2 linked regions of the Caenorhabditis elegans genome follow. The protein of the gene in region 2 purifies or fractionates together with the protein of the main gene of each other region. This does not show direct contact. Each region holds a gene or a part of one and is shown on either strand. Other genes may lie near its edges.

Region 1 (3,678 bases), on a different chromosome or scaffold from region 2:
TTTCGCCTTCAATTATTATAACTTTATTCGTTAGTGCAATGCCAGATAATAAACGGAACGACGATTTTTAAACTAGCTAATGTACATTCGATTTTATCGAAAAGATGGACAAGACAAAGAAAAAGCAAAACTAGTTTTGTTTGCACCCGTACTTCTTGGATCTCAATAAGGAAACTATCGTCTCGTGGTGCCACCGTAACCAGAACTTGAGCGCATTGATGAAGTAGAAGGTGATGACCAGGAATCGGAACTTGAGAAGCCTGTGTCTTGGAAGAATCCTCTGTTGTATCGTGGACGGGCGTAGGCATTGTTATTGTTGAGGAAGCTGGATGCCAGGTATCCTCCAATGGCTCCTAGACTTGCTCCAGTCCAAAACGATCCACCATTGTTGGCGCCACTGCCACTTGCTCCTCCGCTAGAACTTCCCTGACTGAAAAACTTAATTTTAATGAAAATAAGGTCATTTTTATTTAAAATTCCTTACCATCCACCTCCAGATTGCGAGTCACCACGGAACCCATATGGCGGTGGCTTGGAGTAGTCGTCATATGGTGGAGGAGCACTTGGATAACCACCTGGACCACCACCTCCTCCGCCGGATCCTGGGCCTCCAGGACCTCCTGATCCACCAGAAGTGTAGCCAGAGCTTTCTGGGTTCTGATTTCTGTTAGTCCACATCGCGTAGATAATGTAGGCGATGAAGGCGACGACGACGAACGTGGCGAACTGATCCCATCGATCCTGGGATGACTTTCGAGAAACTGATCTGTTACCGCTCGCAGAATTGTACTCGAGCTCATACTCCAACCCGCAAGATCCTCTCAGGATGTATGGATCCTCTGCGTAATCGTATCCTTCACATGAAACACTGATCTGAAACAAGAAACATTTTTTGAAGCGAGATGGAAATATTTAAAAAACTAACGGATCCGAATTCCATATCATGTGGCAAATCTGCATCACATCTCCACTGCACATCCGAACCATCAAAACCTTGATTTGCACACTGAACCACCTTTGGGGTGAAGGCACCTTTCGCGGATCCACCGACACACTTCAACTGGAAGGTTGGAGAAACTCGTCGTCCTGTCGTCATTTTTCCTTTGTGTAGAGTAATTGCTGATACATCGCGAAGAAGAACTTTGTCAGAGGCCGCTGAAATTCATTTGTATTATTGAAACAAATAATCAAAAGAAAAACTTACCAGAAGTTTCGAAGAATACCACTGTGAACACCAGAAGCATCCATAAAAGGAAACTCGTTGTAAATCGAGAGATCATCTGAAAAAAGAAACTAACAATTAGGAATTTTGAACGAGTAATCAATAGAAAGTAGTATGAACATTGAAATAGTACCGGAAGATAAGAACGAAGCACCAGAGATTAATTTTGAAGCGTTGCAGTGAAAGGGAGAAAAGATGATAATGAAGAAAACGAATGATAGGATATGTGACGTGTAACAACACGGAATTTTCAGAAATTTCGAAATACTTGGATCATTTTTTTGCAAATCAAGAAAAAAGATAATACGAGAATAAGCGAGGAAAATCTATTGGATGGACACAATTTTACAGCAACGCCTTTGTTTGACATAATTTTTATTCAGAGTTGCGATTTTTATCAGATTTCGCTATAAACCAAGAAGAAAACACACAAATCTGGAAGGAAAACCTGAAAAGCTGTGTTGCCAGCTGGCGGATAAATCGAGAAGGGTGTTCGCACTTTAAAAACAATATCTTCTGTTAAAAAACAATAAAATAAATTAAGAAAAATAAATTGTTGCAAGCGCGCCCTATCGCATATGTTGAAGAGACTGTAGACGCAGACATATGGCCGTGACCGAAAACATTGTCTTTCGCGTCTCGATATTTCCAAAGTGAAAGGCCATGCGCCTTTAATTGCTGACAAATAAAATTCAAAAAAAGTTTTTTGTTTTGATTTTTGTGAGAGCGCGCTCGCCAAAAATGTTCATTTTAGCTATTCGAAATCCATTTTTGTTTTGATTGCTCCTACTCCTTCATTTTCTTTCTTCTTCACTCATTTCTCGTCTCAATTTTTAATGTATCGAGAATTTCTCAGGATGACTGCTCAAGACTACCTCAACGGAAAGCTGGCGGCTGCCAATGGACCTCTGGCCGATGACTGGAAGAATCTCAAGGAGCTCTGGGAGAAAAAGTAAGAATCAATTGTTTTTGTAGACACAAACTATTTCACTAATTTTCAGGCTCTGGCATCAACTAACGGTTCTGACACGATCCCTTGTGAAGAAGCCACAATTTGTGGCTTCAACGGACATGCACGAATTCTACAGACTGTTCGTGGCGGAGTGGGAGCTGCGTGTCAACCCTCTTCAGCTCGTCGAGATTTGCATTTCGATCGCCCAAAATATCGCGACAAAGGACAAGCAAAAATCTATGGAATTCCTGTCAAAAATTGGAAACGTCATCAACAAGGACAAGATTGCCGTTGCTCGACTTCATACCGGAGAGATTGAAGCCAGACTGGAGAACAAGGACAAAAATGGACAGATTATTGATCTGAAGAGCATTCGAACTCAAATCGATTCGACACAACACGAAGTGGACTCACTTGTCGGAGTTACAGAAGTTCATGCCCCGTTCTACCGCGTCTCATCTTTATATCTTCGTGAAGTTGGAGACTTCGCTGGATATTATCGCGAAGCTCTTCGTTATCTTGGAGTTGAGGACGCCAATAATCTGACAACAGAACAGAAGCAAGTCCATGCGGTTCTTCTCGGTTTCGCTGCTCTTCTGGGAGAAAACGTGCACAACTTCGGAGAATTGGTTTGTTGAAACTCTCAATTTAAATTCCCCCAATAAACGGTTTTTTCAGCTTGCTCACCCCATCCTCAAATCGCTCGAAGGAACTCGTGAACGCTGGATCGTGGACGTGCTTCTTGCCTTCAATTCGGGAGATTTGACGCGCTTCTTCTCGCTCGAAGGAGATTGGGGAGGCTGGGACGATTTGAAGAAGCAAAAGGATTTCCTGACTGCCAAAATCCGTCTGATGGCTGTCATGGAACTTGCAGTCTCTCGTCCAACCAAAGCCAGAAGCGTTTCATTCAAAGAAATCGCCACGAAGTGCCAGATCCCATTCGACGAAGTTGAGTTCTTGGTGATGAAGGCGTTGAGCAAGGATCTCATTCGTGGAGATATCAATCAAGTTGAGCAAGTTGTCTACGTGACATGGGTGCAGCCAAGAGTTTTAGATAATCCTCAGGTATAAGAATTGATTATAAGTTTTTAAAATACTTATTTTCTTTTTTTCAGATAATGCAAATGGCGACTCGCATTTCCGCATGGAGGAACGATGTCAACTCCATGGAAGGAATCGTCAGCAAAGAGGCACGCGAGATTCTCACTCAAAATTAAATCATCTCATTTCTTTAATTTATTTTCTCCATGCTCCCCCATCCCAATCCCGGAATCCTCTATTTTTATAATTACACTGCTACGTGTATTCTACAATTTCAAGATCGTTCAGTCTTCTTTCTGTGTGTATTTATTTGAATTCATAAATTAATCGACTGTGAATATATTGAATTTTCTCGATGTCAGATGTGACTAACACCGTGTCAATAGTTCACTAGTACTTTTCAATACTTAACATTCGGGTTCTCTTCGTCTTCGAGTAATGTAGTACTGTGATTGTTCCAGCC
Region 2 (3,910 bases):
AAGCTTTGAAACAATCATTTCAGTTTTCAAAACTCGTTAAAGATTGAAGTAAATGGGATTTCAAACACAAGAGTATATGTAAAGACTTATATTAAAAACATTACATCAATAAATTTCATTAAAACTTCAAACCGGAACATGAATTAACGGCGAACAAGTCATTTTTGAGGCAATAAAATACTGTATTGGAATAATTGAGATGAAAAAGAAACAAAAAATTGAATAGTCAAAGAGATTCAGGATATACAGATCAATCTAAAGAGCCATTTCCTCAACACGCGGAGCAGGTGCAACAGCCGGTTGCAGATATTTCTTGAGACGGCCAATCAGTTCTGGATCAGCTTTGAGTACTTCGGCGCTCTTTGTATTCTCCGACAATTCAATGATTCGATGAATAATTTGACGTTTGCGAATTTCGTATTCTGGATTATCTTCTGATTTATCGTCCAATGCCCAGTCAATGAATCTGAGAAAAAACAATTTTAATAAAAAATCTCGCATAAAAATGTCGTTAACATACCCCTGGAAAGTGATGAACTGATGAACAACTGATGGATATGTGAACAACTGTTGCCAGAAATCATAAATACAATTCTTCATCTCAGGGAACGGCTTCTTAACATTTCCAACTGCTACATGTGTCAATGCTTTTCCACCGAGACGCTCGTACCATGTTTCAGCAATTTTTTCAGTCGCTGAAATTATTAATTTTCAAACATTCCACATAACTAAATAAGCTCACTATTCTGGAAAAGGAGAGTGACGGCCTGAAGAGTTCGACACTTCAATTCCATTGTTCCCATCGTACATGCAGCACCAGCAGCTCCCAAAGTATTCTCAAGATCTTTTGAATCTGAAACAATATGATTTTTAATATCTTGCTTTTGAAAAATTTGGAAAATACCTTTGAACATATCCTCCAAAGTTTCTTTTGCCTCGACAGAGAAGCACATACTGGCAAAATGATCGAAAGCTCCAAGACGACTGACCACACTCAATTGATCGAACATTCTGATTTCGAGCATGAGACGCCGTGCAAGATCAGGGAAATATTTAAGAACTTGTGGGTAGGAACGAGCCATATAACACATGAAACGTGTTCCGTCTGTTGATAAAAATATTGTTAAATATTAATTGAATGAACTGGTAACTTACATAAATACATTTCCCCACCATCTGGAGACTCCTTCGACCATTCCATCAACTCATAAATCTAAAGGAATAACATTAAAAAAACAAATTTATTGCAAATTCAAACCTTTTTGACGATTCCCAATTCGTACAAAGCCTCTGCATTCTGTTTTCCACTAAGTGCAATATCAACGAAAGTGTCCAAAGCATCCAGTTGAGCAAGAACATCTTGAGTATCTAGAACACTTTTAAGAATCTTGTCGTAGAGCCAATGAATGCATGAAGTGTTAGATGAAATGCGAGCTCGTTCAGTAGCAATCTGAACAATTTTTCAATGAATTATCAAATTAAGAATTCAAATAATTACGGAGTAAATACGACTTCTAATGGATGAACTTTCTCTTCCATTGGCAACACTCAGCTGCGATTTGAGCTCTTCATTAATCAAGTCGTGATCCACGAGGTGTGCCATCAGACGTCCAACTTCCTCTCCAGCTTCAGCATCTGTAACTCTTCGAGCAAATGCAACTCCAATTGCAACCGATGATGACTTCAAAAGGGAAATCGCTCCTTCCTTCTCACGGACTGTGCGGACTACATGGCGAAGAATATTCGGATGTGCAGATGGAATGAATTCGAGAAGAATTATCTGTAAAAGATTGAGATATTACAATTTTTATTAGAATTTTTTTTTATTAGATTAGAATAGTCTAAAAATTGATGTCAGGTACCTGATGATCGACAAGAAGATCTTTGGTTGAAATATCTCCAATAATCAATTTTACAAGCTTGCTGGTGCTGAAGTCATCAAAATCAGCAGCGGCCACGTCATCTTCTGTTCTGAAATAATTTCATTTTGATACTATCTGATATTCATTTAACGTACTCCATTTGCTGAGCCGCTTCAATTTGCATCTTTGCAAGTTTTTCCAGAATCTCCCATCCCTTTTTCGAACTGCGTTCTGCGATGTAATCGTTTCTCCACTCCTGAAAAAAATTGGCTTAAAATTGGAAGAAATTTCAATAAAACCTACTTCGATCAGTTTTTCATGTTCTTCCAAACTAGCCATCTGGAACGAATACGGTAGGAGGTAAAAATATTAAGCAAGAAATGAAGATAAGCTGGTAGTTAAACCATCATAATTTTAAAAAAGAAAGAAAGACATATGGAAAGAGCATGGAATTTAATTGAAAGTCGGTTTTACCCGTATCAAAAAAGAAGTTAGACAGTGAATTTTCAATAAAGTACAAATGTTAGATAAGTATGTTCAAATAAATAACTTAAATTAAATGTTAAAGCTATTTAACTGGTTTATAATGTAGAAGAAGCTCTCCACTTTGCTTCCAATAGAGATGCTTGACTGTTCGCAAATCCATATCCGGCTCCAACCTCTGATCATTGCAGTACATTTCCATTTTTGTATGAATTTGATTTAGTGGAATCGAGCCAACTGTAATATCTTCAAACACCATTAATATCTTCTTATTTCTAAATACCTTACCATCATTAGTGCTGAGTATTTTTTCGTAAACATGCTCCATCACTTTCTTAACTTGAAGCATTTCAGTTGCTGACAGACGATCTCTGAAAATAGTTCAAAATTTTAATGAATGAACCCCGCGTTTTCACAAACTTTTTAGGCTGTTTGGGATTTGTCGACGGATGTGGAAGAAGATAAAATGGCATTTTATTGAATTTCGGCAGCTGATTTCGTTCGATTGCGTCTATAACCCACATGGGTGCAATTTGTGCCAGCTCATTTGCTTCGAACTCCTTCCCAGCGTCGCCAACAAGAAGACGGTAGAGCGGACGACCATTTCCTTCGCTGAAATTAGTTTTTTTAATGTTTAAAATTTGAGCCTTCAAATAATTTTACCAAATAATAAGCGGTGTGTGTTCCGGTAGAGAAATAAAATTCAGTGTTGCTTTTTGCACATCATCTGCATCAGCTGCATCAACATTTGTCATTTTACAAGGTGGCCATCGTTCGAAGAGTGATCGTAGCATCATTCCACCGTAATTCACTATAATTTCTTACAAAGGAATGAGAAAGTTTTTATTTTCGTATAATATCTTACGTTTTGTCTCTCGATCATTATCATCAAAACCTGCGTCTTTTGATGAAAGCCACGAGGAGAGAGCGTCCAGCTCGTCCAAAGTGATTTGGAGCATCTGAAATCGAATAGGGTTTTATTTTTCAAAAATTTATAAAACTTAAAACTCACTCCACTTTTTGAATCAACGACAAACCAGCTTGGAATGTATACTTGCCTAGAGTTCTCATCGACAACTTCTTCAAATATTCGCTTTCCATAATCTTTTATCTGAAATTTTATCAAAATTCAAGTAGTAACTTTTAATAATGGGGACAAACCTTTCTTGCTGCTAAAACATCATATAGCGCCACATTTCCATCCGAGTCTCGTGTCAAAACGTGTCGTTTGTCGCTCAACATGGCATGTTTCTTGATGGCAGGAGCGCCTGAATAAACAGATTAAAAATTATATCTGCATATAGTCTGTTTACCAGGAATAACGAGCTCTGGTGTGCTCTGTTGTCCTTTTTGATCCTTCACTCGGATATACTTGAATGTTACTGGAGGTGATGATGAAGCTGATACTGAGTGATTTGCATTTGAAGTTGAAGGACCATCTTCGTCTCCTCCAATCGAAAGTTGGGCTGATGGGCGGATGGACCAGCTGAAAACTGAAAGTTTATTTTTTTAATAAAATAATTCTTTTACCGCTTGATATCAGACTTCCAGGTTCCGACCCAAAG

Evidence for each region. Proteins that work in one complex are often made in the same cells at the same time.
Region 1: the proteins of F35G12.12 (region 2) and rpn-9 fractionate together in Caenorhabditis elegans (co-fractionation; one large-scale study listed by BioGRID). This does not show direct contact.

What each region holds. Positions count from the first base shown.
Region 1 is NC_003280.10:11,237,320-11,240,997, reverse strand, and holds rpn-9 (26S proteasome non-ATPase regulatory subunit 13), read left to right. Parts: upstream 1-2,078; 5' UTR 2,079-2,079; coding exon 2,080-2,174; intron 2,175-2,223; coding exon 2,224-2,803; intron 2,804-2,852; coding exon 2,853-3,239; intron 3,240-3,289; coding exon 3,290-3,391; 3' UTR 3,392-3,551; downstream 3,552-3,678. Other genes in the region: T06D8.9 (Store-operated calcium entry-associated regulatory factor), read right to left, coding at 175-430, 485-873, 926-1,155, 1,205-1,280.
Region 2 is NC_003281.10:4,580,086-4,583,995, reverse strand, and holds F35G12.12 (26S proteasome non-ATPase regulatory subunit 5), read right to left. Parts: upstream 2,202-3,910; coding exon 2,166-2,201; intron 2,119-2,165; coding exon 2,018-2,118; intron 1,972-2,017; coding exon 1,863-1,971; intron 1,781-1,862; coding exon 1,499-1,780; intron 1,451-1,498; coding exon 1,259-1,450; intron 1,214-1,258; coding exon 1,156-1,213; intron 1,106-1,155; coding exon 905-1,105; intron 854-904; coding exon 743-853; intron 696-742; coding exon 521-695; intron 467-520; coding exon 256-466; 3' UTR 103-255; downstream 1-102. Other genes in the region: wdr-48 (WD repeat-containing protein 48 homolog), read right to left, coding at 2,431-2,716, 2,766-2,957, 3,009-3,156, 3,211-3,304, 3,358-3,456, 3,507-3,613, 3,659-3,831, 3,876-3,910.